Linked DNA regions of Schizosaccharomyces pombe. The gene in region 4 interacts genetically with the main gene of each other region. Each region holds a gene or a part of one and is shown on either strand. Other genes may lie near its edges. The genes, in order: eso1, cdc22, cds1 and cdc20.

What was found.
Region 1: of cdc20 (region 4) and eso1, a mutation in one rescues a mutant of the other (synthetic rescue), as found in Schizosaccharomyces pombe (2 studies listed by BioGRID, with this or other methods).
Region 2: mutations in cdc20 (region 4) and cdc22 are lethal when combined (synthetic lethality), as found in Schizosaccharomyces pombe (one study listed by BioGRID).
Region 3: mutations in cdc20 (region 4) and cds1 impair growth when combined (synthetic growth defect), as found in Schizosaccharomyces pombe (2 studies listed by BioGRID, with this or other methods).

Annotation. Positions count from the first base shown.
Region 1 is NC_003423.3:4,275,036-4,282,345, reverse strand, and holds eso1 (mitotic cohesin N-acetyltransferase/DNA polymerase eta Eso1 fusion protein), read left to right. Parts: upstream 1-2,692; 5' UTR 2,693-2,754; coding exon 2,755-5,373; 3' UTR 5,374-5,457; downstream 5,458-7,310. Other genes in the region: Hrd1 ubiquitin ligase complex subunit Ufd1, read right to left, coding at 1-142, 190-192; ale1 (MBOAT family O-acyltransferase), read left to right, coding at 821-2,350; SPOM_SPBC16A3.12C (triglyceride lipase-cholesterol esterase), read right to left, coding at 5,458-5,595, 5,647-5,996, 6,044-6,431, 6,584-7,007, 7,058-7,089. UniProt on the Schizosaccharomyces pombe protein: Probable acetyltransferase required for the establishment of sister chromatid cohesion and couple the processes of cohesion and DNA replication to ensure that only sister chromatids become paired together.
Region 2 is NC_003424.3:4,223,879-4,231,418, forward strand, and holds cdc22 (ribonucleoside reductase large subunit Cdc22), read left to right. Parts: upstream 1-3,091; 5' UTR 3,092-3,103; coding exon 3,104-3,122; exon of another isoform or gene 3,123-3,438; coding exon 3,439-5,855; 3' UTR 5,856-6,111; downstream 6,112-7,540. Other genes in the region: Rho family GTPase Rho1, read left to right, coding at 302-372, 704-1,241; hsp3105 (ThiJ domain protein, glyoxylase III), read left to right, coding at 6,972-7,540. UniProt on the Schizosaccharomyces pombe protein: Provides the precursors necessary for DNA synthesis. Catalyzes the biosynthesis of deoxyribonucleotides from the corresponding ribonucleotides.
Region 3 is NC_003421.2:737,527-743,683, forward strand, and holds cds1 (replication checkpoint kinase cds1), read right to left. Parts: upstream 3,813-6,157; 5' UTR 3,705-3,812; coding exon 3,447-3,704; exon of another isoform or gene 3,356-3,446; coding exon 3,307-3,355; exon of another isoform or gene 3,240-3,306; coding exon 3,208-3,239; exon of another isoform or gene 3,163-3,207; coding exon 3,078-3,162; exon of another isoform or gene 3,010-3,077; coding exon 2,750-3,009; intron 2,685-2,749; coding exon 2,475-2,684; intron 2,437-2,474; coding exon 2,228-2,436; exon of another isoform or gene 2,156-2,227; coding exon 1,876-2,155; 3' UTR 1,835-1,875; downstream 1-1,834. Other genes in the region: protein Thc1, read right to left, coding at 1-344; THO complex subunit Tho3, read right to left, coding at 490-633, 700-778, 824-1,068, 1,111-1,179, 1,232-1,323, 1,367-1,640, 1,703-1,729; cab5 (dephospho-CoA kinase), read left to right, coding at 4,219-4,255, 4,304-4,977; ribosome biogenesis protein Urb1, read left to right, coding at 5,478-5,508, 5,551-6,157. UniProt on the Schizosaccharomyces pombe protein: Has a role in the DNA replication-monitoring S/G2 checkpoint system. It is responsible for blocking mitosis in the S phase.
Region 4 is NC_003423.3:3,251,136-3,260,659, reverse strand, and holds the start of cdc20 (DNA polymerase epsilon catalytic subunit Pol2), read right to left. Parts: upstream 6,939-9,524; 5' UTR 6,772-6,938; coding exon 172-6,771; 3' UTR 1-171. Other genes in the region: respiratory chain complex IV assembly protein Cox20, read left to right, coding at 7,476-7,526, 7,593-7,707, 7,861-8,057; mug16 (UNC-50 family protein, implicated in vesicle-mediated transport), read left to right, coding at 9,413-9,463, 9,514-9,524. UniProt on the Schizosaccharomyces pombe protein: DNA polymerase II participates in chromosomal DNA replication.

The DNA.
Region 1 (7,310 bases), 1.0 Mb from region 4:
GTTCCTCACCAGGAATCATGGCAACAGGATAACAGCGGTAACGAGTATCAAATCGCTGATTTACATTATTATGAAAAGCTGACCGAAGTTGAGACATCATGGAGAAACCATCATCGTCGCTTGAGAAAAAGCTGCCGCCAAACTAATACGTGAGTAAGTCAACGTACGCATTCTCTAAAAAAACCATACCATATTTGCTTTTTTTGCGAAAAAAGGAAAGAGTAACTATGGTTCTCCCAATTTTTTATAATGCAACGTAAATGTTGTAGTGCAAGCAAAATACACTTGATGACTGAAAGAATTTGGCTATGTACAGCATTCGTTGACGCAAATGCCACTATTTGGGACCAAGGCAAGAAGTTAGTTTACGAAATTTAAGGAGGTTCCTCAAGGTCTTTAACTGTTTATAAAATAGTACCTTGTAATATGTTATCTGAGCCTACCATATGTGAAGCATAGCTGTACTATCTTGATATTTCATGAAATATCAGTGCAATTCTCGTTAAGCTTTACAGTGTAGTTTTGGATAGATACGTTGTAAAATTGGGTCATATTCTTAAATGTTGTCAGTTGATCAGTTGATTATAGTAGCTCAACAAGGACCGTGGGTTTCTTGAATAATTTGTGACAAAAGTTGTGCTAGTTCTTTAGACCAGAAATTGTTGGTGTTCATGAGCTAAAACTTCACCAACACCAAACTCTGGGTACAATCTTCACTGTACATTCGTGATTAAAGAATAATCGATTGTTGAGTGTTTAATATCAGTTGTTCAATTCAAAGGCATTCCCAAAGCAGGAGACAGTATTGTCTACATTAACAATGGCTTATCTTATTGATATACCATTTGAATACTTCTCTTCTTTCCTTGGAGTCCACCCGGATCAGCTCAAGTTACTGTTTTGTTTTCTTTCAGCATACCCGTTTGCCGGCATACTAAAAAGACTTCCTTCGGCTCCATGGATTAGAAACTTATTTTCAATAAGCATAGGTTTATTTTATCTCATTGGTGTTCATCATCTTTACGATGGCGTTTTAGTTTTGCTATTTGACGCTTTGTTCACATATTTCGTGGCCGCGTTTTATCGATCGTCACGAATGCCATGGATCATATTTATAGTAATCCTTGGCCATACATTTAGCAGCCATGTTATTCGGTACATTTACCCTTCAGAAAATACTGATATTACTGCTTCACAAATGGTACTATGTATGAAGCTTACAGCGTTTGCCTGGTCTGTTTACGACGGTCGTCTTCCTTCAAGTGAATTATCTTCTTATCAAAAAGACCGCGCGTTGAGAAAGATTCCTAATATCTTGTATTTCCTTGGATACGTATTTTTCTTTCCCTCATTACTTGTTGGTCCAGCTTTTGATTATGTTGATTACGAAAGGTTTATAACCCTTTCTATGTTTAAGCCTTTGGCTGATCCTTATGAAAAACAGATAACACCACACAGTTTGGAACCAGCCTTAGGTCGTTGCTGGCGAGGTCTGTTGTGGCTGATTTTATTTATTACCGGAAGCTCAATCTATCCTTTAAAGTTTCTACTTACACCTAAGTTTGCTTCCTCCCCTATTTTGCTAAAATATGGATACGTTTGCATAACTGCTTTTGTTGCAAGAATGAAATATTATGGCGCATGGGAACTTTCTGACGGTGCATGTATATTGTCAGGCATTGGTTATAATGGCCTGGATTCTTCTAAGCATCCTCGTTGGGATCGAGTGAAGAATATTGACCCTATTAAGTTCGAATTCGCAGATAATATCAAATGTGCTCTTGAGGCTTGGAACATGAATACCAATAAATGGCTTCGAAATTACGTTTATTTGAGAGTTGCAAAGAAGGGAAAGCGTCCAGGGTTCAAAAGTACGCTAAGCACATTCACTGTTAGTGCAATGTGGCATGGAGTTTCTGCTGGATATTATTTGACTTTTGTTTCCGCAGCCTTTATCCAAACAGTTGCAAAATACACGCGTCGCCATGTTCGCCCATTTTTCCTTAAACCAGATATGGAAACTCCTGGGCCTTTTAAGCGAGTCTATGATGTTATTGGTATGGTAGCAACAAACCTCTCTCTCTCCTATCTAATTATCTCTTTCCTTCTTTTGAATCTAAAAGAATCAATACACGTTTGGAAAGAGCTATATTTTATTGTGCATATATATATATTGATAGCTCTGGCTGTGTTCAATTCCCCAATAAGGTCGAAATTAGATAATAAGATACGATCCAGAGTCAACAGCTATAAACTAAAAAGTTACGAACAATCTATGAAATCCACTAGTGATACGGACATGTTAAATATGTCGGTGCCCAAAAGAGAAGATTTTGAAAATGATGAATGAAGGATTAATTTGCTATGAGGTAGCATCATATGCAATAAATTGAAGCATTTGAATATTTTGCAGCTTTGTTAACAGCAATTTCATCTTAATTGTTCATCATATACAATACCTTTCATGGCGGCAGTATATTCATTGTGTTTATATATATGTTTACATATTAAAGTAGTCTCTTAAATAAAATTCCTGAATGTTTTCTCTCAATTCAGTTTTTAAGTTTAACATCTAATTTCCTTTGATGATTTATTTTGGTTACAACATTATGAGAGTTTGAATTTATTTTGCTTTAGTATCTGGTAGTAGGTAACGTTGCTATATCTAGTACCTTAGTCCACTAAATTCAACACGAACGCGCTATAGAACTTGAGCGATTCTTATTAAAGAACTTTTTTGAGGGTATGAACTGAATGGAATTAGGCAAAAGCAAATTCTCTTGGAAGGACTTGCAATATTGTGATAAAGCAGGTACACAAAATTCACCGTTAAGGGTTGTAGCTCATATTGATCAGGATGCTTTTTACGCTCAAGTCGAAAGTGTTCGCCTAGGATTAGACCATTCAGTTCCCCTTGCTGTTCAACAATGGCAAGGGCTTATTGCTGTAAACTACGCAGCCCGTGCAGCGAATATTTCACGCCATGAAACAGTTACTGAAGCAAAAAAGAAATGTCCAGAGCTTTGTACCGCTCATGTAAAAACTTGGAAAGCTGGGGAGTCAGAGGCTAAGTACCATGAAAACCCAAATCCTAACTACTATAAAACCTGTTTAGATCCTTATCGGCACGAAAGCGTTAAGATTCTTAACATCATAAAGAAACATGCGCCTGTGGTTAAGAAGGCTAGTATTGACGAATGTTTTATTGAACTTACGAGTGATGTTAAACGGATTGTGTTGGAGGAATATCCTTACTTGAAAATTCCCTCTGAGGACTCAAATGTTGCTTTGCCGCAGGCTCCAGTGCTACTATGGCCTGCTGAGTTTGGAATGGTCATTGAAGAAGAAGTTGTAGATAGAACGAAAGAAGATTATGAAAGGGATTGGGATGATGTTTTTTTATTTTACGCTGCAAAAATCGTGAAAGAAATTCGCGATGATATATACTTGCAACTCAAATACACGTGCTCAGCAGGAGTTTCTTTTAACCCAATGCTTTCAAAGCTTGTCAGCTCGCGTAATAAACCAAACAAGCAAACTATTTTAACGAAAAATGCAATTCAAGATTATTTAGTGTCATTAAAGATTACTGATATAAGAATGCTGGGCGGAAAATTTGGAGAAGAAATAATTAATTTATTAGGAACAGATTCTATTAAGGATGTTTGGAATATGAGTATGGACTTTTTGATAGATAAGCTTGGTCAAACTAACGGTCCACTCGTTTGGAATTTGTGCCATGGAATTGATAACACTGAGATTACTACACAAGTTCAGATTAAATCAATGTTGTCGGCTAAAAATTTTTCTCAGCAAAAAGTGAAGTCTGAAGAAGATGCAATTAACTGGTTTCAAGTATTCGCATCTGATCTTCGATCACGATTCCTTGAACTTGAAGGAATGAGAAGGCCCAAGACCATTTGTTTGACTGTTGTATCAAGATTTCTGAGAAAGTCAAGGTCAAGTCAAATACCTATGAATGTTGATATTAGCACTCAGTTTATTGTTGAAGCAACATCCAAACTGTTGCGTCAACTGCAACAGGAATTCGATGTATATCCGATTTCAAACTTATCTATTAGCTTTCAAAACATCATAGAGGTTGATCGTAATTCTAGGGGAATTGAGGGTTTTTTAAAAAAGTCCAATGATGAAATCTACATGTCTACTTCTGTTTCACCTTCTATTGAGGGACGCGCTAAATTATTGAACGAAAATATGAGGGAAAATAATTCTTTTGAATTATCTTCGGAAAAAGATATAAAGTCACCTAAAAGGTTGAAAAGAGGTAAAGGTAAAGGGATTTTTGATATGCTACAACAGACCGCTGTTTCTAAACCAACGGAGAATTCAGCTGATGAAACTTACACGTGTGAAGAATGCGAACAGAAAATTACTTTATCCGAAAGAAATGAACATGAAGATTATCATATAGCTCTCTCCATTTCGAGAAAAGAACGCTATAATAACTTAGTACCGCCATCCCATGATAAACCTAAGCAAGTAAAGCCTAAAACATATGGAAGGAAAACCGGTAGCAAGCATTATGCACCTTTATCCGATGAAACAAACAACAAAAGAGCATTTTTGGACGCATTTTTAGGAAACGGTGGAAATCTGACACCAAATTGGAAAAAGCAAACGCCAAAAGCAATTTCCAACAGCTCAGACAACATGACCCAGTTACACTTAGATTTGGCTAATTCCACCGTAACTTGTTCAGAATGTTCTATGGAGTACAATTCAACGAGCGAAGAAGATATTTTGCTTCATTCTAGGTTTCATTCTCGGGTTCTAGGAGGTGTTACTGTGTCCTTTCAATGCTCTCCTATTTATCGCGTTAACTATGGTTTGAGTTCCGATTGCATATACAGCATAAATTCAGAAAGCTCATTAATTGATCAAAGAAAAGCAGAGGAAGCTTTATCTTTCGTAAATAACGAACTTTCAAGTGAGCCTATTGAAACAATTGGGGTAGATAAATATACCACATTTCTATTCATATCAGATAAGAAATGTGTCGGATTACTTCTGGCAGAGCGTATATCTTCTGCATACATAGTCGATGAACTTGAACTCAACAACAACAATAGCACCTCTTCCGCAGTATATATAAAAAACGAAAATCTACGAAAGGGGTTTGTATTGGGTATTTCCAGGATTTGGGTATCAGCTTCAAGACGCAAACAAGGGATAGCAAGTTTACTATTAGACAATGCTTTAAAAAAATTCATTTACGGTTACGTTATATCGCCTGCAGAAGTTGCTTTTAGTCAGCCTAGTGAAAGTGGTAAACAGTTCATTATTTCGTGGCATCGTTCTCGAAACAATGGTTCTTCGAAGTCACTTCGATATGCTGTTTATGAAAGTTGAAAATAGTCTGACAAAATTAAAGTTGTTCTAAATATCTATCTAAGCGTTATATAGAAGTTTTTTTTTTAAATTATTAATTAATCATTAATGAAAACCGTTTTGTTTAACGAAATGTTTGGCTTTGCCTAATGAATGATGCTTAAGGGCATCTATTACAACTGGGAACACTTCCTCTTTAACATCCTGGCCCCATAGAAAGTCAAGATGTTCATAATGAGCAATCTAACTTATATTAGCATATTGAGCAACAAACCTATAAAATAAAAGGCTTACCGAAACTTCCTTTGCATGGGGAGGAAGAGCAGTTCTCATTACTTCCATATTGATCAAAGTATCTTTACCTCCCCATAGTATCAGCATTGGGCATTTGATATTATTCGTAGGAAACAGAGGAACTTGGTAATGGCGTGAACCATATCCAGCTAGAAGAGCCATATCGTCGTCATAAAGCTGGAAAGTACAGTTTTTTATAATCTGAAGCCAGTGAACAACACTCTTTACACTTGAAAAAGAGTAAAGATGTGCATAACCGCAAAGTTTTTGATTAAGAGAAATGTTGGATAGGTCCCAGTTGAATAAAATTTTAAGGGATACATCGACAATTTTTACAAAAATTGGGGGATCTGTAGAGTAAGCAGATGAAGTTGAAATTTAAAAAAAAGAAACATACAACATATATTTTGCCAAAAAGTGACTGAAGGTAAAAGACAACGGCGCCCAAAAAGATGATACATAATTTTTGGATTAACTTTGACAATATAGTCAACGAAGTAATTTGAAAAGCCTTTGGGAGCATAAGCAGGCGCTAACCCTATGAAAATATTTACTTTGTCATTCAAATCCGGATTAATGCTAAGTGCAGCCATTGCTTGAGCAGTTCCTTGAGAAAAGCCAATATAGTTTAGTTTTTCTCTTCCTGTTTCCCTCAAGATGTAATCAACAGTATCGGGAATATCAAACATGGCCATATCATCTAACGAGAAGTTCCAAAATTCTTCGTCCTTCGGTTTGTAAGTAATGTGTTTCCTGCTATACTTGTTTCCTCGATTGTTGCCCAACTAAATGTATTGTTAGTCAACGCCAAATATATCCTACGAAAATCTAATGTAAACATTTGCCCTTCTCATATTTGTTAAATCAATAGCTTTTCTTTACGCGTCTTCAACAATAGCTCGGGATAGAGTCTTGATCTGGCAAGCAAATAACTTACCCAAACATCATATCCAGATTCAATTAAAACAAAAGGAAGACTTCTCTCGGATTCATTAACTGCAACCCATAATTCAGAATTTGTCATGAGCCCATGGTGACAATAAACTACTTCACGCTTATGTTGGCTTTGCTTAGGATGTGTAATTCTATGTAGACATAGTATAAAGTTGTCTTGAGTTCGCACAAGGTGTTCTTCAACCCGATACCCAAAGGCTTCGCATATTTCATAAATGTTTCGACACTTTTGAACCGCATCGGTCATTCCATCCGTAGTTTTAGAGCTTATGTAGTAATGATACAGAACAATTATACGTACACGAAACCATTCCCTGACTCGCTCAGGTATCATGTAAATAAATATTCGTGCTACTAATTCGGTATACACACCGACGAAAGCTGCAATTACGCCAACATAGTCTCCCCTTTTTCACGTTAAAAACAATGAATCTTTTGAAGAGGATTGTTTACGTACCAATATATTTGATTTTTATTGAATCCTGACATACTACCAAAAAATTCGATTGTTGGTAAAAAATAGGCTGATCAACAACAACACCATGGCATACGAAAATATGATTAATTTTACAAAACGTCAATATCAAATATAACTTGAATAAATCGACTTTGTTTCTTTTTCTTTACATCAATCAATAGCTTTAATCATTTATTTCAATGAATTGATCTAAATTTAAATACAAAACAAGTATTTTACATAAGGGTTGAAC
Region 2 (7,540 bases), on a different chromosome or scaffold from region 4:
AGACAATCTTTTTGTAATAAAACTGTTTTAATTGCACTTTACACTCTGTACAGGCTCAGCCTCGTCCATACATACTCAAAGGGTTCATCTATAAGAGCGCTAGGGCAAAGTAACGAGATTTAGTGAAGTGTAGTAGCGTCTCCTTCTTTCCTTTCGTTGTTACATGAGCCGCTGACAGCCTAGTAAATAGCTAACCACTGCCACATCGAAGGAAAGAGCGGTGTCAGAATTTGAGTCGAAAAACGTTTATTTACGTCGAAATTTTTCTGTCTAGAGCAGGAGAAAGTAAACAAATCTAGGGATGGCGACAGAACTTCGCAGAAAGCTCGTTATTGTGGGAGATGGTGCATGTGGTAAAACATGCTTATTAATGTAAGTAAAAATGGTGCAAGCGTCGGAAAGGTAGTAGAAGGGTAAAGTAGTTGCTTGGGCCTGTTTTAAATTGGCAAGGGTTTACATCTCTTGCTTAGCATGGCTGGAGAAGAAAATTATTTCCGTAAGCATGTTCATTGCCTCAAGAAAATAATGAAAGAATCCCCATAGAAATGAGACTTAGATGGGGTTTAGATTACATTTAATAAATGTTCCGAGGATTTAATTTGCACTCCGTACCCTGTATTTCTACTTACTCTTTGCTTGCTTATCTGCAATGTTTCACGAGTCTGTGTCATTGTTATACAACTTCTAACATTTTTCTTTATAGTGTATTTTCTAAAGGAACCTTTCCCGAGGTCTATGTTCCCACTGTTTTTGAAAATTATGTAGCTGATGTTGAGGTTGATGGACGCCACGTTGAGTTGGCTCTTTGGGATACGGCTGGACAAGAAGATTACGACCGTCTACGTCCCTTGTCATATCCTGACTCACATGTTATCCTTATTTGCTTTGCTGTTGATTCTCCCGATTCTCTTGACAATGTTCAAGAAAAATGGATTTCCGAGGTTCTCCATTTCTGTTCCAGTCTTCCTATTTTGCTTGTCGCTTGCAAGGCTGATCTCCGTAACGACCCAAAAATTATTGAGGAGTTATCCAAGACTAATCAGCATCCCGTCACCACAGAAGAAGGTCAAGCAGTAGCTCAGAAGATTGGTGCTTACAAATACCTTGAGTGTTCTGCCAAGACGAATGAAGGTGTTCGTGAGGTTTTTGAATCAGCCACTCGTGCTGCTATGCTCAAACACAAGCCCAAAGTGAAGCCCTCTAGTGGAACTAAGAAGAAGAAGCGTTGTATCTTGTTGTAAACAGCTTGTTTCCAAATTTTTTAACTTAGAGAATTTATCTTTTCTGTTTTTATACATCTCTTCAGTCGAAGCACATTCAACAAGTTTCCGTATTTTTTCGACTTATGTTGATTTTTATTTCACCTTCACCTTGGTGGGAGTTTTGCATTGTGTGGCCTATCATGTTACATAGTCATTATATCCTCTCATTCTTTCCTTTTTACTTACCTCAAGTCGTGCCATTTAGTCAGCTTGGCAATGATTTAAGCGCATTTCATATAGCTGTTCTACCATTTCCCCTCACTGTTCTGCAACGTATAGGCACCTGCAAGGAGTATGCGTCTTGTTTTCAGTCTTTGCTTACTTTGCTATACTCTTCGCTATTAGTTTGAAGAAAATTTCCCTTATTGCCTTGTTATTGCATGGTTTTATTTTTCCTATAATACCTTGTTTCTTTTGTTAAGGATTGCCATCATTATTATCCTTTCTACCTAGTCAAAGGACTTGGTAAATTTTTATAAATCGGTAATTTAAAGAATATACACCTCGATTGAAACTCGATCAAAACCCGAATATTTTATAAGCTTTCTCACAGCACGTAATTGCTTATTATCGTGGAACTTTAGCTGGGTCTCCAATTTTGCACTAGAATTATTGTAGAAAATTGAAGCGACATTATCTCTGTTGATAACCTTGCTGGTATACAGGCGCTTGGTATTTTTATACACGTTGATAGTCGAAGTAGCAGATAGCCGTAGTTGATGGTTTAAACATTTTGTATTTTGCGGAAATTTGCACACTGTTTATATCTCATTCTCTTTACGTCAAGCATACCAATGTTTGCAATTTCATGTTTTGAAGGTGACCGTTGTTATTCTATCTATGCATTTGTATTACCATTTGATTTTCACTCTGTCTACAGGCAAGATTATCAGATGAAGATATAAGCATTGTTGACTTTACCTAAAAAAAAGGATAATTGCGAGGGAGCAAATAGTGAATTAAAGGGAAAAGAACAAAGTTTTTGTAGCTACTAAAAGCTGTTTGTCTATCTCTATGTGTACCTTTTATAGTGCTTATAAGTAAAATGCAGAGTCGAAATCTTCATGCTTTAATGTAAAGCATTAGTAAGGTTACATATTACAACAGAAATGGGAATCAAAATCTTAAATCTAAAAGTTGAGAGGTCTTAACAAAAAAGCTAACTCAACTTAGCTTTACAATTTATAAATCAAGGAAACAATACTTTATCAATTGTATGTTATGATCTTCTCCAACAGGTAATTGACAACATCAAAAAGTAATATAAAGAACAAGGGGAAATTGATATCTAGATATATTAGAGAAATTAGTAGTTCAATCTCATAGAGCAGGTTGGTAGTCGGGTTGGACCGCGTGTTTAATTTATGTAAACAGTCGCGTCGCGTTGCAATTGAGACGCGTAAATAAATATTTAATTTATTACATTCAGTCGTAAACAGAGTATTTATAAACACTTTTTTTATGTTTAATAAAAGATAAATGTAACAGTTGAATGTATTGTATCAGGTCAGACCACTTCAACATGTTTAATCGCGTTTTTTTAAAAAAATATTTTTTTAATTTTTAAAAGTCGGACTTATTTTAGCGGAACTTTGATGTTCAGAAGTGAAAAAGATAAATCTATTTAGCAAGTCTTAATTAACGTCTTTTAGATATAGTAGAGCTACAAAAATGATCCGGTTTCCACTCTTAGCTTTATTTATTTACATTGATCAACATGACTTAAAGTTCGGATGACGCGACGCGGCATCACGTTATATTAGCGTGACGCGTCTGAACGCGTTTTTCATTTACTATAAATATTCCCGGTATTTACCACCTTACAAACTAGAACAAACACGATGTTTGTATACAAAAGAGGTATGAAACAGGAAATAAAATACAGTTAGAAGATTAGTAGAAATTTTGTTACAACGTTGCCGTTTCGAAAAATGTCGTGATTTTACTGGGGAGTAAATGTTTAAAGAAACTGAGATTTTTCTATTTGTTTAAGCGTGTCATTCAGTATTCACTGTTTGTTGTGTGCAGAGATGTTTAAGCAAATGTTCTTTTAGCCGTTTGCTCTACTTCCAAGTGTTCGGTTGATTGCTGACAGATTCGTTGCTGGTGGCGTTGTATTCAAAATTGACTGACTGTTGACATTGAATCGAAAAGCAATAATGTACTAACTGTATAGACGGACGTCAAGAGAAAGTGGCCTTTGACAAAATCACTGCTCGTGTTTCGAGGCTTTGTTATGGCCTTGATTCCGATCATGTTGATCCCGTCGAAATCACTCAAAAAGTCATTTCTGGTGTGTATCCCGGTGTTACCACTATTGAATTGGATAATTTAGCTGCTGAAACTGCCGCGACTATGACTACAAAGCATCCTGATTATGCTATTTTGGCTGCTAGAATTGCTGTTTCCAACTTGCATAAGCAAACCGAGAAGGTGTTTTCAACTGTCGTTCAACAGCTTCATGACTATGTAAATCCCAAAACAGACAAGCCTGCCCCCATGATCTCTGACAAAATCTACGATATCGTAATGAAACACAAGGACGAATTAGATAGTGCTATCATATACGATCGTGATTTCACTTACAATTTCTTTGGCTTCAAGACTTTAGAGCGTTCTTATTTATTGCGTATCGACGGCAAAGTTGCTGAGCGCCCTCAGCATATGATTATGCGTGTCGCCGTTGGTATCCACGGTGAGGACATTGAAGCTGCTATTGAAACATACAATTTGATGTCTCAACGCTACTTTACCCATGCTTCACCAACTCTTTTCAATGCCGGTACTCCTCGTCCCCAACTCTCTTCTTGTTTCCTCGTTACGATGAAAGACGACTCTATTGAAGGAATCTACGACACACTCAAGATGTGTGCTATGATCTCCAAGACCGCTGGCGGTATTGGTATTAATATTCACAACATTAGAGCAACCGGTTCGTATATTGCTGGAACTAATGGTACTTCCAACGGAATTGTCCCCATGATTCGTGTTTACAACAACACAGCTCGTTATGTTGACCAAGGAGGTAATAAGCGTCCTGGTGCCTTTGCAGCCTATTTGGAGCCTTGGCATGCCGATGTTATGGACTTTTTAGAACTTCGAAAGACTCATGGCAACGAGGATTTCCGCGCACGCGAAATGTTCTATGCCTTGTGGATTCCTGACTTGTTTATGCAACGTGTTGAACGTAACGAGCAATGGACCTTCTTCTGCCCCAATGAGGCTCCAGGTTTGGCAGATGTTTGGGGTGACGAGTTTGTTGCCCTCTACGAAAAGTATGAGAAGGAGAACCGTGGTCGTCGTTCATTACCTGCTCAAAAAGTTTGGTACGCCATTCTTCAATCACAAGTTGAAACTGGTAATCCTTTCATGTTGTATAAGGATTCATGCAACCGTAAGTCCAATCAGAAGAATGTTGGTACTATTCGCTGCTCAAACCTGTGTACTGAGATTGTTGAATACTCTTCTCCTGACGAAGTTGCTGTTTGTAACCTTGCTTCAGTTGCTTTGCCCACATTTATTAAAGACGGAAAGTACAATTTCCAAAAGCTTCACGATGTCGTGAAGGTCGTTACTCGTAACCTCAACAAGATTATCGACGTTAACTATTATCCTGTTCCTGAAGCTCGCCGTAGCAATATGCGCCATCGTCCCGTTGGTTTGGGTGTTCAAGGTCTTGCCGATGCTTTCTTCGCTCTTCGTTTACCATTCGAATCTGCAGGTGCCAAGAAGCTAAACATCCAAATCTTCGAAACAATTTACCACGCAGCCCTTGAGGCCTCTTGCGAGATTGCCCAGGTAGAGGGTACATATGAGAGTTATGAAGGATCTCCTGCATCCCAGGGTATTTTACAGTATGACATGTGGAACGTTAATCCCACCGATCTTTGGGATTGGGCCGAGTTGAAGGAAAAGATTGCTAAACACGGAATTCGTAATTCTTTGTTAGTAGCACCAATGCCTACTGCTTCAACATCTCAAATCCTTGGTTTCAATGAGTGTTTTGAGCCATATACTTCTAACATGTACCAACGCCGTGTTCTTTCTGGTGAATTCCAAATTGTCAATCCATGGCTGTTGAAGGATCTCGTTGAGCGTGATTTGTGGAATGAGGACATGAAGAACAAACTTGTTATGCTTGATGGATCCATCCAAGCGATTCCTGAAATTCCTCAAGACCTTAAGGATCTTTACAAAACCGTATGGGAGATTAGTCAAAAGACTGTTATTGACTATGCTGCCGACCGTGGCCCATTCATTGATCAATCCCAAAGTTTGAACATTCACTTGAAGGATCCTTCCTACGGAAAAATTACTAGTATGCACTTTTATGGCTGGAAGAAGGGTCTTAAGACTGGAATGTACTATCTTCGTACTATGGCTGCTTCTGCTGCTATCAAATTTACGGTCGACCCTGTGGCCTTGCGCGCTCGTAATGAAGAATCTAATGAAGAGAATAAGAAGCCAGTTATAAAGAATGGAAAGGCTGAAATTTCTGCAGAGCCCACTAAAGAAGAGATTGACATTTATAATGAAAAAGTGCTCGCATGCTCCATCAAGAACCCTGAGGCTTGCGAAATGTGCTCAGCCTAATTTACTGTTGCAAAAATGGATTTGTTAAATCCCATCCATGTTTAATATCCTACATTTTATTGTTTCTTTTAATGTTTTTATTCAATATTCTTTTCATTTGTCGACATACATAATTGTGTCTTAAATTCAACCTTGGTTTTCCATTCTAGTGAGCAGGCTCAGAATGGTTCTAATACATAAATTAGATTACGAATTTTCTGGAATTTTGATGTTTTCCGGGGTTTTAAAAACTCCCAATAATATAAGTTACTTTTTGTCTCTTGATTAATGCAATGCATTATCGACGTGGTATATTTGTAGACATGAGACTGTAAATTTTGTACGAGGGAAGATGTACATTCGATAAAGATACTTCATAAAAAAATTTGTAAGTGCTTCTGATGTTCCTCATTTTGTGTAAACGGGTAAGGTGGTATTTGTTTATTCACTGGTTAACGGGCTAAATTGAGGTATGGTAAATGGTTTAATATTTGTGGCATCGTAAATCTTTATAGCATGTGTTTTATTACCTTTTTCAAGTAGATCGTTTGAAAAGTGCAACTGCGTGTTTGTTAAAGAAGTCAAACCAAATGCACGCAATGGAGTGAGATAAGTCGCTCATTTGATTGTTGATAAACAGGATATCATGTAGCATGCATGACTTAAACAAATTATTTTAACCGTACGAAATTAATTAACCATTTCAGTTGAAAGTATTTTCAATAACTGAAGTACGATGTTTATAGCAATATCATTATTAGGAGAAAACTTGATATGGAAATACTTTATGAAATAGTTGCTTCAATATTACATTATGCAGGTTTTTATATTTAGTAGAATAATTTTAAAAAGTAAGTAGTAATTTTAATTAAAAAGCATGTCATCGTGATTCGTGCTGGAGGCGTACACATAAATTGCTTCGAGAGGATCGTTGAAAGGCTCAAAATAACTCGCATTTGAAGATAATAAGTTTTGAGACTCGTGTAATCATCTTGAGGGACATTTCCTGACAGTTTGATCACATAACTTTTCATCAGATAAATATCCCCTTTTCTTAATTTTTAAAATATAACGAGGATATTTTAACTGATAACCCAAATTTGCGACATTGAATTGTATTGAAAATTGAATTAAAAAATGGATGAACGACATGAAGCAGCAGGAGAGACGTCGGAAAAACCAAAAGTACTTTTCTTGCTGAATAGCTATTATGGCCCTTTTTATGATGATGGAGATAACACTGGCGTGAATGTAGTAGACTTATATGAAGCGTTTAAAGTATTTGAAGAAAATGGTTTTGACATAGTAATTGCGTCTGATACTGGGGATTATGGATTTGACGATAAATCCTTTCGAGACCCGGCGATAGTGGATGAAACACAATCAATATTTTCTAATCCTGATTGCTCTTTGATGAAGAAATTAAAGAATATCGCAAGACTGGATCGATTGAATCCTTCGGACTATGTGATTGTTTATATACCTGGAGGATATGGCTGTTCTTTTGATTTCCCCCATGCCAAAGTTGTACAGGACTTTTTGTATCGGTTTTATGAAACAAAAGGAATTATATGCGCCGTTGCACAAGCTAACATTGCCTTGGCTTACACGACGAATTCTGATGGGCAAGCTTTGTGTACGAACCGCCGTGTGACCGGTTGCACTTGGAAGGATGAAGTCCAAAATGGTGTCTTGAATGTGATGAA
Region 3 (6,157 bases), on a different chromosome or scaffold from region 4:
GAAGTCAAGAAATTTTGTAGTGGAATAATTCTTTTCCTTTTACATAAACGAAGTACCTCATCGTGCGAACCGTAGAATGGTTTAATGATAGCATTCAGTTGACTGCCCCAACGAAGTGAATCTAAGTAAGCCTTTTGAGCTTCCTGCGGCGAAGAAAATGTCAGGTAAGCTCTCATACTATCCTTCCAAGTAATAATTAGATCAGGTTGTTTAAAATAACTTCTTAAAACGCGTTCTGTAAGATAAAGTCCTTGTGCACTTAAAATGTACGTAGAATGACTTTCAACAACTTCTACTGGACGTTCAATATGCTTAGATAAAGAAACAGTATTTTTCTCTTCCATTCTTCAAAACTTTTGGTACCAAATAAGCTAAAACTACAACTTCAATGAATATTGAAGGTATCCATGCTAAGAGTATAGGGTAAATACTAAGTAGCCGTTTTTTTATTGTTGATCAGCGTGAACAAGATTGCCAATTTTCAATCATTTATAGCCCAAATATCTTAAGACCACTAGAATTAGGCTCCGATACAGCATATGCTAAAATATGTTTTGTTGGATGCCAAGCTACCTTGTTCAGAGGTCCATTAGTTGGAATTTTCCAAATTTGATCACCAGTTTTCGTATCAGCCTTCCAAGTTAGTTTATTAAAAAGAATAAAAATAAGAAACGGTTTCAAACATCCTGAAATACTTACGATATCCACATAGCGGTCCTCTGATCCACTAGCTAAATAGCGACTGTCATAACTAAAGCTTAATGTACGGATGGGATAACTTTTTAGAAGTTAGCGACCAAAAAATTTAAAAGAAACTACATACTCCATTCTAGTAATCGACCGTTCACAAATCAGTTCTTGTGGATCCCATAAACTAGTAATTGCATCTGCACCACCAATGGCAAGGTGCCTGTTATCCGGACTGAATTCAATACAGAAACAATTTGAGTTATGCGCCTTTATATCGTAAACTCTTTTTAGAGAAGGCCATTCCATAATTTGCACCGTGCCAAGTCCTGTAGTCATGAAAAACAAATCTTCACTGAATGACCAACAGCATTCATTTGTCTATTAATCGTAAGCAAAGTTATTATTGGTTTAAAAACAAACCTCACAAGGTTGTTGGAATGTCTCCATTATTCTTCTTTCCCGAGCATCAATAAAAGACAACATATCATCCTAGCATTCAATTAGCAATCGTGCGTTATAAAAACTTAAAATATTCTCGTACCCGACTACTAGCACAGCAGTAATTTCCACTTGGACTCCAGGTTGCATAAATATTCTCATAGTTGCTTTCTATTTCAGCGATAGGTTTGGCGCCTGAATAAATAGTTAACAAACAGTCAAAGACTTCATTGCATACTTCTAAAGTCCCAGAAACGGATCATTTTCCCAGCATACACAGCCATTAACCGATCAGAATGCGTAGGATCCCATACTAGTTGTTCGACAAGACCATATCCTCTGTTCCCTAATTCAGTAGTAAATTTAAAATCCAAACGATCTGAATTCCAAACAAGTACTGATCCTGAAGATGAAGAACTCGCAAGTCTCGAGCCGGAAAGATTCCAGCCTAGGGAACGTATAGGTCCCTGTTGCCCTTGTAAATCTCGAGTTTTCAATTCGGGAAACTTTGGCTAAAAAGAAAAAAGAAAGTTTTAGTATTTTATGCTCTAGTTTTTATAAATCATTAACATACAAGCGATTCTGTAACTGAAGCACACATGGCAAAGATCGCGTCGAGACGTCCAAAGGGATAGTAGTACGTGGACAGAGTGGTTAGTGTAAACTTACTGTCTATTTACAATATTATAAATTTGACGGTCTAAGTATAAAAATTAATTATCATTTAGAATACTAAATATTAATAATCTAACTCGAAGAATTGAGCTGTTCGGTGGCCTCATGTTCAGACGATGATGGTGGAGTACGATGTTCGTGTGTGCTCACAGTGTAAAACCAAGGATGCTGGAGAGCTTCACTTTCAGATATTCTTTTCTCTGGATTAATTTCAAGCATCCTGTTGATTAAATCGATTCCCTCTTCTGAAATTTCGTTTTCTAATAAAGGCTCTATCGGATATGCACCTTTTGATATCAACTCAATACATTTTGCTTGTGACGAAGATGCAAAAGGAATAGACGCAGTAAGCCTGTGAATTAGTAATTGGAAAAAATTAAGGCATGAAGGTTCATTGCTAATTGATTAAAGCCGACAAACTTACATCACATATAAAACACATCCCAAACTCCATATATCAACTTTATCATCATAACCTCCGTCCAAGTTGACGTTTTTTGACTTCAAAACTTCCGGTGCTAGATAACCCATTGTCCCGCAAAATGTTTCTAAAAAGGTTCCCGTCCCATGAATAACTTTAGCCAAGCCAAAATCAGATATTTTAAGATGGAAATCATTTGTTATAAGAATGTTCTACAAGTTAGACTTTCTTATCAATAAACAAGATATACCTCGGGTTTTATGTCTCTATGTGTCACACCCTGCTTGTGCAAATGTAAAAGCGTTTCTAAAAGTTGTTTGAGAAGAGGTTTACAGTCTTGTTCGTCGATGGAGCCATTAGCAATTAAAAAATCCATAAGATCCCCACCCTCAACATATTCCATAACAATAAATAACTCGTCATCATTTTCAAAAATTTCATGGCATTGTACAACTCCTGGCTAAAAGATAAGTGTTAGCTAGGAGTTTTTCGTATAAAAAAAGGTGAACATAAAATGATACTCACATGGTGCAAAGATTTTAATATATCAATTTCTCGTTGAAACATTTCAGTAGCTCGCTTTTCCGAACTTGTCAAAAGGATTTTTCGTTTGTTGATAATTTTAATAGCATACCACTTGCCACTATTCACTTCTACCGCTAGCTTGACAACTGCAAATGTACCACTTCCAAGTGTACGAATAATTTCGTAATGACTGTTCTCGGATTTAATCATGTTTTTCTGGGAATCTCGTGAATGTTTAACTGGTACCTGGCACAAAAAAGCTATAAGACTGTAAGCAAACTTGAAGTGAATTCTACGTCAACAATCTCCTTCAGTGTAAAGGACGTACAAATTTCATCTTTCGGCACACCTAGGCCAATTCGAATTTCATCTCCGTTTGACAAGATAGTTCTACTATTCTTGGCAAGCCGTTCCTAAATGACGTCAGTAAATTGTAAACGAATTAAGCTCTCGCTTACAAAATTCAGAAATGTTCCATTAGAAGAGTGGTCTGAAATTGTTAGAAAAGGTGGAAGAGGCAGAAGACTTTAAAAGATTTTTTAATCCTTTAGACTTACCGTGTAAAAAAACGACATTCTCAGATTCATCGGAATCATTTCTATGCCCCTGGGTCATTTCGTTAGATAATTATGTCTTAAAGAGATTGAAGTTCAATTAAAACTAAACGAGTTCAGCTGGCCACTATTATTTTATATACCTGATAGATTTCAAAATGAAAGTTGCTAACTCTAGGTCCGTTTAAAACCACTTCACAAGATTTATGACGTCCAAATCTCCAAAACCCATTGTGCACATCTGTAGTAAGAGGAATCACTTCTGTCTTACCATCAAGCATGCGAGTCATAACCAATTTCATAAATACATTTTCGTTGTTAACCACCTGTTTGGCTATGTTCTGACTAACATGTAGTGGTGCCTCTTGAGTAGCCTGCGTAGCTTCTTCTGGTTCTTCCATAGTATCTTAAAAACAGAAAAACTGGATGAATTCTTTAACCATGTATATCAGTAAACACAAATAAACGTGCAAATGAGTGATCAAGCTTTTAACAGAAGTAAAAAGACCAAAGAAGCAGTTATCATGTCAGACGAGGGCTTATGATTTACTGACTTCGCTTTAAACATCGTTATAAATTTTACGATATAAAATGTATCATAAGACAATAATAACGAACTGTTGCAATACCAGATTTTTCGCGAAGCACGAGTAATATAAACAATGTTTCATCCACCTACTTTACTGTACGTTATACGTAGTGAGGATTAAATGTTAATTGTTAAGTAGTAGTAATCCCTATTTATATTTTTTTGGTATACGTGAAGGTTGCCATCTGTCAACATTCCTTTGTATTTCAAACTTCGACTTCCGCGATTGAAGACTTTGTTCTACGGCATTAAATAGTTTTCTGATCTCCTTAATTGTTACCATTATTCAAAAATCTTCTATACCAAAGCAAGGAATAAGAAATATAATGCTGATTCTTGGTTTAACCGGCTCAATTGCCACGGGTAAGTTATCAAATAACAATTGGTTTAATAGTGGTTAACCTAGTTAAGGGAAATCTACAGTTTCTCGCGAGTTTCAAGAGAAATATCATATAAAAATTATCGATGCTGATGTGTTAGCTAGAAAGGTGGTAGAACCGAATACACCTTGCTTAATAAAAATTCAGAAAGAGTTCGGTAATGAAGTATTACATGAAGATGGCACTTTGAATCGAGCAAAGCTTGGCCAGGCAGTATTTCAAGACGCAGGAAAGAGGTCACTTTTGAATTCAATAATACATCCAGCAGTACGTTTGGAAATGCTCAAAGAACTGCTTCGATGTTACGTACGGGGTTACAGCATAGTTATTTTGGACGTTCCTTTGCTTTTTGAAGCTAAAATGCAATTTATTTGCTGGAAAACGATCTGCGTGTCTTGCGATAAAAGCATTCAAAAGCAACGTTTGCTGGCACGTAATCCTGAGCTTACTGCAGAGGATGCTGAAAACCGAGTACAAGCGCAGATGCCTCTTGAACTTAAGTGTCAGCTTGCGGACATTGTAATAGAAAATAATTCGGATCTTGAGACCTTATATGAAAACATACATAATGTCCTACCTTTAATCACACCTTCCTATTTTTTTACCTTACTATGTTTAATTCTACCGCCATTGCAAATAACTTTACAAGTTATTGCCTTTGTCTCGCAGAAGAAAAAGGTATCTGAATTCAGAAAACATATATAATCCTTTTTTCCATATTCTTTAATTTCCTCGTTTGTTATTTAAGCCAATAGTCTTAATGTTTTTGCTTATAATTAGATCATTTTCATAACTTATCTCAATATCTTGCCTCGAGCTTTCTATATAAATTCACGAGTATATGTTTTATCATGATTTGAAATGAGAAATTAAATCTTTTCATGCGCATACAAATAGCTGAACACTACAATAATGATTAATGTAGAGGTTCTCGCTTAGATTTCTGGGTTTTAAATAAGAAATCGATTGCGTTCCTTCTTTCATTGTCTGTATACTTGGGTATTGAACTTGTATTAATCAATCTTTGCTACAATGCGTGACTTATATTTATGTCAAAGAATAATTAAATTTTTTTTGTTAGTTTCGTTGGGTTAGCTAATTTTTTGATTGATATATTTGTTCACGTATTTACAATTTACATGTTCGCATCCACCATCACTTGAACACCTTGTCAGTAAGTGTTCAGTAGCCAATTTTCTGGCAAAATGGAATCTGGATCTATTGATTTGGATAAGGGTGAGTCAATTTAGTCATTACAATTATGCTAACTCCATGTAGAGATAGATGAATTGAGCAGGGTTTTATTAGAGCATCCTGCTCATGTGGAAAAAGTTTTAAAGACCGTTGAGTTCGATAAATCTGCCCTTCGTTATATTGATGCAATTTTAGATCATCATTTGAAGCAGATATATCGGAATTTGACATCCAATTCTCCTTTGCATACGCTTTCTCTACTTCAAAAAATGGCATCTTGGAATAATGGATTGGCATGTGTTCGTGTATTCCAAGCTATTGACTGGAACAGTAAAATTTTTATAAAGATGCTCCAGCTACCTAATCAAATTCAAAATTCTAGGAAAGGAAATAAGCGTCTCAAAATCACTATATCAAAAAAGCGGTCCTCTTTACTACTTCTTTTCATTACATTCCTTAGGCTTGGTACACCAGAAATTCGACTGGAAATATTAAATTCAAGGAAACTAACTACTCCTTTGTTTAAAGGTATATACAATGATGAGCCTTCGGTTCTTAAGGAGCTACTTCAATGTTGGCTCACTTATGTGTTACTAGATCATGATGTTTCTAGGGCAACAAAATTATCTTATTTTAATGAATGGTCATTGTCATGCTTAGCTTCTCTTTATTCAAGAGATGATGAAATTGA
Region 4 (9,524 bases):
AAAAGCATTTAGGATGCGTAATTATCAAAAGAGAGATGCTTTATTAAAAACATATATGCTGCTATATAAAAATAAATAAATATGACCAGCAGCAGATAAAATCAAAATAACTTATAAAATACATATAAAGACAAAAAAGCCAAACTCATGCTCATGGTCAGGCGAGAAATGTTAGTTCAGCACAGAAAGTATGGACTGAACAGAATTTTGCAATATAGAAAACTCGTAAAAATCAGCAACAGATTGATAAACGTTTAACATTTCACGAAACTTTGTAGGTGAAAGCTGTAATACCCATTCTCCGCTGCATGAACAGCGTTCCTTTAATGACCATTGCTTAACTGTCTTACATTTAGAACAAATCAAATCTTGCAGTTGATATAATGTCAATTGATGGTATAAGTTATCCACCAAAGTTTCCTCAAACACCCATCGATCGTAAACTAAGTTACAGCTGGAACAAGACCATCCGTCAGAAAACACCAAGGTCCCCATGTCATCGCGAGTAGGCCATAGATGCTCATGTAAACAAAGGTCAAAATCCTGATGGACGCCACACTGCTTACAGGGTATTTGATCAAGTGAAAGTCGACGACTAGGATATCGAAATACCGCCTGAGTGGAAAACTCTTGAATTTGTAAAAGTGACAATAAACTCTTTTTTAAAAAACGGACCTCCAAATTGAGATCATGGGAGAGTTCAAAAACAGCACAGATGCTTTTAACCAATTCTAGAGCGCCATCAGTATAGTTAAGAAAAGAACCTGGCAACTTTGGAAATTTAAGATCTTCTCTGGTATTTTCATCAAGCTGAAGCTCTTGAAAACATCTCCTTACTTGAGCAACTTTCCGTTTAAGAGGATGTATCAACTTACTTTTTAAAATTCCCGATCCAACTATTTCAGAGTCCTCATCAGCATTGTTGTTTTTCACGCGAACAAACCCAACTTTTGTATTAGACTTTTCTAATTTTTGCTTATAAACCTCTTCAATAAACTCAACAATCCAACTCTGAAATTCGGGCTGAATGATTGGAGGTAAATGACTTTTAATGTGCCATGAAACAACTGTCTGTGGTTCTTCATTTGTAGCTGAAAAATTTGCTGCCACCATTTTTCCTCCATAATTAACGGAATCCATCCATAAAAGATAATCCCAGTATTCCGTGACATTTAGATCCAAAAAGTGAAATAGTGGTAACGTCTTAATGGATTTGAGTAAATAATTTGAATAAGTGACAGCGTTCTGGACGATTAATTTGCTCGTTTTGATTAATATTTTATTAGCAGAAGCGTGTATGATATGTGCTCCAAGGCGTTTTATCTCAGAGAGAAGTTGTAAAAAAGTTTTTCTCATTATAACTTCCACGTGCGAGGAGAGTAAAGGACTGTACAGATAAGATTTTGATGAAGAAATCCATCGGGCTAAATGTTGAATTATAAGATCAGCGAGATTATTACCGGATGCAGCTTCGTTCCACCAAGTTTTAACCAACGCCTTCAACACCGGCAATGAATGTGTCAGTCCAATATTATCATGTATTCCCAACTTTTCCTCCAGATCATCATTTATGGCGGTCATGTAATTATCATTCAAAGCTGCCATGTCGCCAATACCTTCTATGTCATTTATGAGAGCAGAATTGAGAATGCTACAAAGTGCAAGGTTGGAAAGAGAAATGTCAACACAAGCATTTGAATAAGCACCAGGATTGTTAACTTCTAGTGGATCTTTGGGACTGGCAATCTGCAGAATACTATCCTTCTCAATACCACCTAAGTCTGGAGTTGGGCCTTTATTCCACCAAAGGATAATATTATGTTCTTTCAGCTTTCTAGAGTAAACAACATCGATACTGTACTGAATGTCATCGCTTTCAAAGTTGCATAATGGGATATCTGAGAAGCGAGAAAGTTGTATGCGATGGAAAAGCCAGCTACCAATAGCTAAGAAATGTTGGATCATTTTCGTAGCAATGTGTTGTTTCCAAGAAAGAGACTGTATGTTGCTCTCAAGCCGTGGTATCATTATATACGGAAGCTCTTCAATTTGCTTCACATTTGCCTTCAATATGTGAGGGAGTGAACTTTCAATAATAAGCAGACTATTTTTAGTTTTAGTTGAAAAATATTGAAGCAACTTTTCATCTATCAGTTTGTACGCTTTCCTTTCGTTTCCCGAGAAAATGACATTACACGAAAGAGTATCAGGGTATTCGATACTACTTTCCTTAATTAAATTATCAAATTTCGACCGTAGCTCTTCGTAAATTTTGCTGATTGATGGGAAAGACATATCACTACCTGGCAGTTTGTCATAAATTATGGCCTCAACTTTTTTTAAATGTGGCATAAAAAGTGAAAAAACAAACCTATTACTAATGGAAAAATGGAATGCATAAAGGTAGTTCATCTCTACTCCATCAAGATAGGAAACATCGTTATCACTTGGGTCAGTGAACATTTTAGATTCAAATCCAAATTCGAAGCCTTTACCTAACGCTCCAGGTACTGAATTATTAAACCTTTTTCTGGATCCCATTTCTAATATCAATCTTTCAATTGGTTCTATACGAGTCTCATATATTCCACTAACAGACGGATGGGCAAAAATCATAGAAATTGATACCTTTTCCGTTAAATAGCTCTTTTCTGGAATTTCAAGTAAAAAAAGCTTATCCGAAGTGCTTCCATGCGGTAATATCGCATTGCTTTTTTCAATTAAGCATCCCTCAATTTCAACATTCGGTAAAGTCTCATCTTTGAAACATACAAAAAACTTTCTATTCACAATGAACCGTATCGAGGTCAACCGATTACGAATAATTACCCAAGCATGTAAAATACCAGGAACATCGGTTTCTCGTATTTGTAAAATATGCCATAAATTTTCAAACATAACTTCAGCAGAAGATTGTAAAACATTGGTGAATTGCCTTGATTGAAACCCAATTAAATGTCTTCTTCGAAGCTTGACCTGCTTCTGATATTTCCACTTTTTCTTAGCATACTTAAGCCAATTCGAATATCCATCCATAAAGGATACAGGTTTTACTTCAAAAGATACAGGTGCTTCCGAGTTCCCAGATTGTTGTAAAAGTTTACGCTTGGTAACTCGAGCGACAATACGCTTATCTTTGTGAGTCACACTTCCTAAATCCTCAATATCAGTAACTTTTGTGTTGTTTATTGTGGATGGATTTGTAGGGGCTAAGGAGAAAATGGAATCGATCTTTTTCTGTTGGTATTTAGAATTCAAGACAGCAACTCGTTTTTGAAGCCAGTCCGGCAATGGAAAACGGGTAACGGGGTTTGAAATCCTTTGGAGAGCAGCAGGGATGCTAATTAGTTTTTGTACTACTGATCCTAGACGTTTCAAATAATAATCCCAATCAATAATGTCTCTAATATCAACATCATATAGACCATTATCTTTCAACCAGAGCCTAAGAAAATGTCGCTTAACAGATTCTTCAGCAAAGAAAATAGCTACCGGTACTGCCCTTTCTGCAACTGGCCTTCCTTTTGGACTTGCGGAAATAATAAAACGACATGCTAGACCTTTGTCTTTGGTCATTTGATCACCCAAAAAGTCAGCCAGTCGCCTGGCTGTAGTAATGGATGTCGATTTTTGGCTTCCGTATTCAGACAAAGCTTTAGACATACTACGATTCTCAGAAATCAGTTCAATTAATTCATCATCTGTTAGGTTAGAGCCTTTGGTGAATAGAATCTCTAACCAAGTGTCAGCAACATAGGCAACTTCTTGATAGCATTCCTCTAAAGAATCACCTTTCAAAAAAACTTTAAATATCTGAGATTGAAAATCCTTAATGAGCTTCAATTCTCCTCTTCTTTTCACCTCAAAGCCTTTAAGTTCAGCTAAACTACCATCGAAATTGAAAACGGCATAACGCTTTTTTAAGTTTTTACCTTCTTCCGTTGAAGCAGGCAAAATCATAGCTCTATAAGGACCATCAACCTCAAAAAAAATGCTGTTTTCACTAGTTGTTTCATACACCAATTTCTCTGGGTCCTTTAAGGCAGAATATTGATGATTGGTGAACTTTTCATGAACCAGGTGATTTAACATAACGCATGGATAAGAGATAAAAACCTTTCCTCCGGATTTCTTTTTAAATTCAAAGTTTTCAGGAAACGATTCTGGAAGAATACACCAAATACCATCTGTGTCAAGTTCCAATGGCCTACCTGCACGTTCAACTATTTGACGAGCCATCTGAATAATCGTAGCGCCTGTCAAACATGTGATACCAGCCATTTCAATCGAATACCAACGGGAGCCTTTTCGCATGACATATCCATAGAAAGAGTTTAAAATAACTTTGTGAGCTAACTGTAAAGAATCGTAGAGTACGACCATCTTTTTGGCCTCCTCTATTTCAGCAAGTCCTCCTTTTTCCTTTATAGCAGCAAGTTGTTTGACCCATTTTTTTTGCAATCCTTTAAAGTCATAACGGCGATCCCTAAAGCTTTTTACCGTATCAATATAAAATGAGTTTTCCTTTTGACAAATTATAGTTTCCCTTTCGATAACGGTATTATCATATAGACGGTGATACACTTTACGGCTGTAATCCGCAATGCGCTTTTGCACCATAGCAGCTTGTTCTGAGGGAGAAAGCTCTTGAAATGACCTAAAAGGTGAGAAAGGGGTAGGGCCTGGAAAACGCTCAGATTGTAAAGCAGAATATATCATATGATATTCACCTTTTTTAGCAGGGTAATACTCCCCTCTCCATGCCCATACCATCCGACGATCACATGTCTTATTGGGCACATTAAGATCGCATGTTGCACAAAACGATTCATCTTTTACTGAATCTGGCTGTAACCGGTTGGTAATCATAATATTTGGGTACATTGAGGCGACATCAAGATGGTAAATCCTTGGCTTCTCCGACCTTTTTGGTCGATCACGAAGGTCACTTAGTTTCTTTAATATGCTGTCTCTAACCTCTTCATAATTTTCGATTTCATCAACATTGACGTTGTTTTCAACTGTTAAAGAAAAATCTAAGGCTTTGTCCAACTGTAAAATTAGTTCTTCATAAACTTTTGGATCCATGTTGAAATTAGTCGGCAAGTCGCTTCTAAAAACACCACTTTCAAGACTTTCAACATGTCCTCCAACATAAGTCTCACTTGCAAGTAAATGACCGTCGAAAAATTTTTGACTAGCATCAACATGTTTATTCGGAAGAATAATATTTTTTGTACAAGCCTCAACAGTTAAAAGCGTTTCACACAACGTACCCGTGCCTTTACGTAAAACTTCATCAGGATTTAATGGGATAATGTTACAAAGAGAAAAAATGAAAGGATGCACATATTTCATGTAAAGAAAATAAGTAGCAACAGCATCTGAAACTGAATATTGAGCAAGAACTTGAGGTTTTTCACTTGCATAAGGAGTCATCAATTCTGGATCTAGTTCGATAGGATTATAACCTAATTTACTGACAGTGACAGCTTTGAGACCTTGACTTCCTTGAGGTAAATAACTATCTCTCTTTACCCACCGGAAGGCATCCATATGACTACAATAAGAAGACTTATATTCATCCTCTGCGTCCCTGAAGAAACCAGTTTCTTCTGTTAAATTCAATCCGTGAAATGCAGCACGTGCGTCTACAAATGGCCAGTCAAAGAAGTCACCATTGTATGTAACTATTACTGAAGGCTTTGCAGACCTTATATGTTTAAAGAATCGATGAAGTAGGCCAACTTCATCAGGCTCATTAAAAATAATAAATGGGCCCTCAAATTCCTCCCTCGGAGTATAATGAAAATCTTCAATATTCTGGGAAATAATTTCTCTATTGGTAATTAAAAATCCTTGGCCATCAATCATATAAGATATCATCATTATTTTATCGAACGAGCTATCAGGAAACTTCAATGGCAGCTTAGTGGTTTCAATATCAAAAGCCATTATAGTAGGTTCTGCACGCTCGATTCGGGAAGCTAAAAGGGATATTTGAACATGGCCTTCATGATATGAAACAGTATACCATTGTCCGACTCGAATATTCAAATCAATAAGTGTACGAGAATGATACGGAACATCGTACTCACGGATATCTAAAACATGATTTAAAGGATCTTCAAATGCGTTTTCTATAATCCCGTTTAAATTCTCCGAAGACAAGTTAGTGTATGCATCAACGGCATCTTGTTGGGAAGAATTAGCTTTCACAGCAGACATCAAAGACTTCCTGACAGCCTGAAGGTCATTCAGGTTATCAAAAACCAACTTTATATACAACTTTTGGTAACCCACTATGTGGTTTTTTAGCTGTAAATCTTCTTTAAAGATACGCGTAGTAGATTTAATTAAGCCCACAAATTTTTTTTTTAAATAATCGTCAACCAAAGCTTCTTTACCTTCTCGAGCAGCAATGTAGAAGTAAGGAGAGTATGGAATGGTACACCGGAAAGTGTCACCATCGTCTTGAATGAAGTAAAAGTCAACGGCACTGAGGGTAGAATTGCCTTTGGTGCTTTCGATTACTGTTGGATGAACGTTGAGAAGCCAAGCTTCTCGTGGTTGTCCACCTTCATAGCTATCAAAACCCATCATTCGATCAATCTCATTCTTTTTGTAGACAATTTTCATAGGATCATTGAAGCCAACTTCCTCGGTTGATTTTGCAAACGTCCTACCGTTCGATTTACTTTTTCCATTGTAGTTACCATTAAATTTCCTAAACTGATATTTGGATGCTCCTCGAGCTGTTTTTAAGGGCATAGCAATACAAAATAAATATTAAAAAAAGAAAGTAAAAAGAGACCGACAGTTTAGTAATTTCCGATTGTTACCAGAGAATTCTAAATTAATAAATGGAATAGTATTAAGAAGAAACTTCTTCTATTGTACAAACATTAGGTATCCTTTTAAATGTGATATAGTGGTTTGGATTAATACCGAGTTAAGAGGCAACAAATTGGTAAACAACAAGTCGCGTCGCGTCGACAACTTGCAAATTATTTTGGGTATCATGTTCCAGTTCAAAGCATTACAATTTATTTATTTTTGCCATAAAATAAAGACAAAGTACAAAAAAATACAAAATTTAGTATACATTAGCCTAATGATCGTGTGTTTCGACCGTAAGTAATTATTTCAAATCGATATTGCTTCCTTTAAGGATTGAATTTAAAGAAAAAAAAAAAAAAAAAAAAAGCAGTTTTCTTTTAGAGAAGCATGGTGACGCGGTTTCTGCTTTCAGTGATATAAATTGTCAAAGCTTGGTTATTTTGGCGAAATATACTATCATAAATGGAAAAGTTTATATTAATTCAAAGAAAAAAATATTGTCTGATTGCTGAAGTACAGGATTAAAGACCCCGCCATAGTAAAAAAACTTAGTAGTGCTTAATTCAATCAGTTTGATACCTTATATTTACCTCTATTCCACCATTAACTGAAAAAGCTTAAACGAATCAGTAACTATGAGTACACCAAATGAACCCGAAAAACCTGGGATTATTGACGCTTTCAAGGTAGAATTTATAGCTTAAAAAGGACTAGTTTGTTGTAAATGCAAGGAATGCTAATACTACTTGTAGTCATTGAAGATGAGTGATTTTGCTCACATGGTACACCATCCTTGTTTTAAGGAATCATTAATCACCAGTGTCGTCTGTGGTCTAGGTGTTGGTTGCATCCATTTGTTTCTTCGAGGTACGAAAAAAAACATTATGCTGGTTAATTGATGTCCGTCAAAAAAAATCGCATGTCTTTTAATTTTCGGACCAACTTTTTAAAACGGTGATTTCAATCCGTTGTTTAATAAGCGGTTTAAATTCTTGCCGACACATGCTAACAATATTCAAGCACCTATTTCTAGAGCTGCTAATTGGGGGTTCGGAACTTATTTTGGAATGAGCATCGTCTCTTGGGAAGGGTGTAATTACCGCAAGCAGCTTGAAACTAATAACTTCAACATTAAAATTACAGAAGCAGCAGAAAAGACCCCGAAGCATCGCTCTTCAAGGTCCGCTCAAGAAATTGATGAAGGTTTTAACGAGTAATTGCATTCATTTGATTCTTTAGGTTCTACTTATTCTTAAGCTCTTTTCATCCCTCTATTGCATGGTATGCTGAGTTTTTCATTTGATCGATTAACTCTTATTCAATTAATATTTTAAATTTGAGTTCATCGGAATGGTTTGTCATTTTTAAATGGTATTCATTGAAGAGTGTGAATTATCACCAAAGAATCCAATGTTGAATTTTTAACTGCCTCGAAGAATTCAATCTTTTTAGGGTGCCATTACAATGGGTGGAATACATACTCTTGGTATCTTGAACGTTGTATTAACAGCAAAAAAGTCTTAAAAATATACAGCATCCACATTTTCCCAATATTAACTAAACAATGGTAGACTTTTTGTTCGTTATTTACTTTATAAGTACTAGCTCATCTCAATCTTTCGTGCGTGTATGTTTACCCCTTTATCGTAAAGTCAGTCTACGACCTTGCGAGGGCATCGCATGATTTCAGCTAAAAACTTTCCAAAATAAAAGTAACAAGACCTTTATGGTGGTTTATTTCTACTAACTGGATGAATAAGCTATGTGATATTTTTGAATGTAAATATGTATTCTTTACGACAATTTTTGTACGATTGGCTAGAAAAAACATTAAAATCAAGTATTTGCAGTCCCATCGTCATTCTTGTTTATTATTTTTTAACAAAGTAGTTTAATCAGGGTAATTTCTTTATTTATAATTATCATCGATGAGATATACTGTTTTTAGGAGGAAAGTTAGTGGCACTTCAGTCGTTTATTAAATATTGTACTAGAAGGAATTGCATTCATTATAGCAACATTTATGTTAGTTATGTAGTCATAAACGATTATTTTAATTCAATTGAAAACTGTGAGTTTCCAGCAATATGGTGATGCTGCACTACGTAACTTTAGCTGTATCATTATTCACTTTATTTATTCGACTAATCTGTTGAATTACACTATTTTTATGTTCAAAATTAGATTCAATTTTATTAATTATATTAATGAATAGATTCAATTGAATATAGTCCTTCAGTTTAATTATGAGCTCTTTGATGTTTATTATATTATCAAAGTTTTAAAGGTAGCCGAGAATAATATTATAGGCAAATTTGTTACTTACTTTTCTTAACAGTTCTATGATAAATCGCAATTCAATGCTTAACGCAGCATTTAGGTTCGTTAAAGTACTTTAAAAATATTACGCATCTAATGACTATTTCATTTTAACAAACTGCTTTAGTTCCACAATAGTGTTATAAAACTTTAACGTGAATGATGTTTTAACGCTGTTTCTTACGTTATTATCGCACGCTATTAGAAGGAGTAAACAAAGTTCTCGTTCACCATACATTCAATACAGTTTATCATGAGTAGGTCATTTCGTAATGGATTCCGCTTGTTGAAGCTTTCTCAAATGGTATTGTTTAAATATTTATTATAAAGAAATTTTTTAACCTTCTTTTAAAGGATTTTGAACG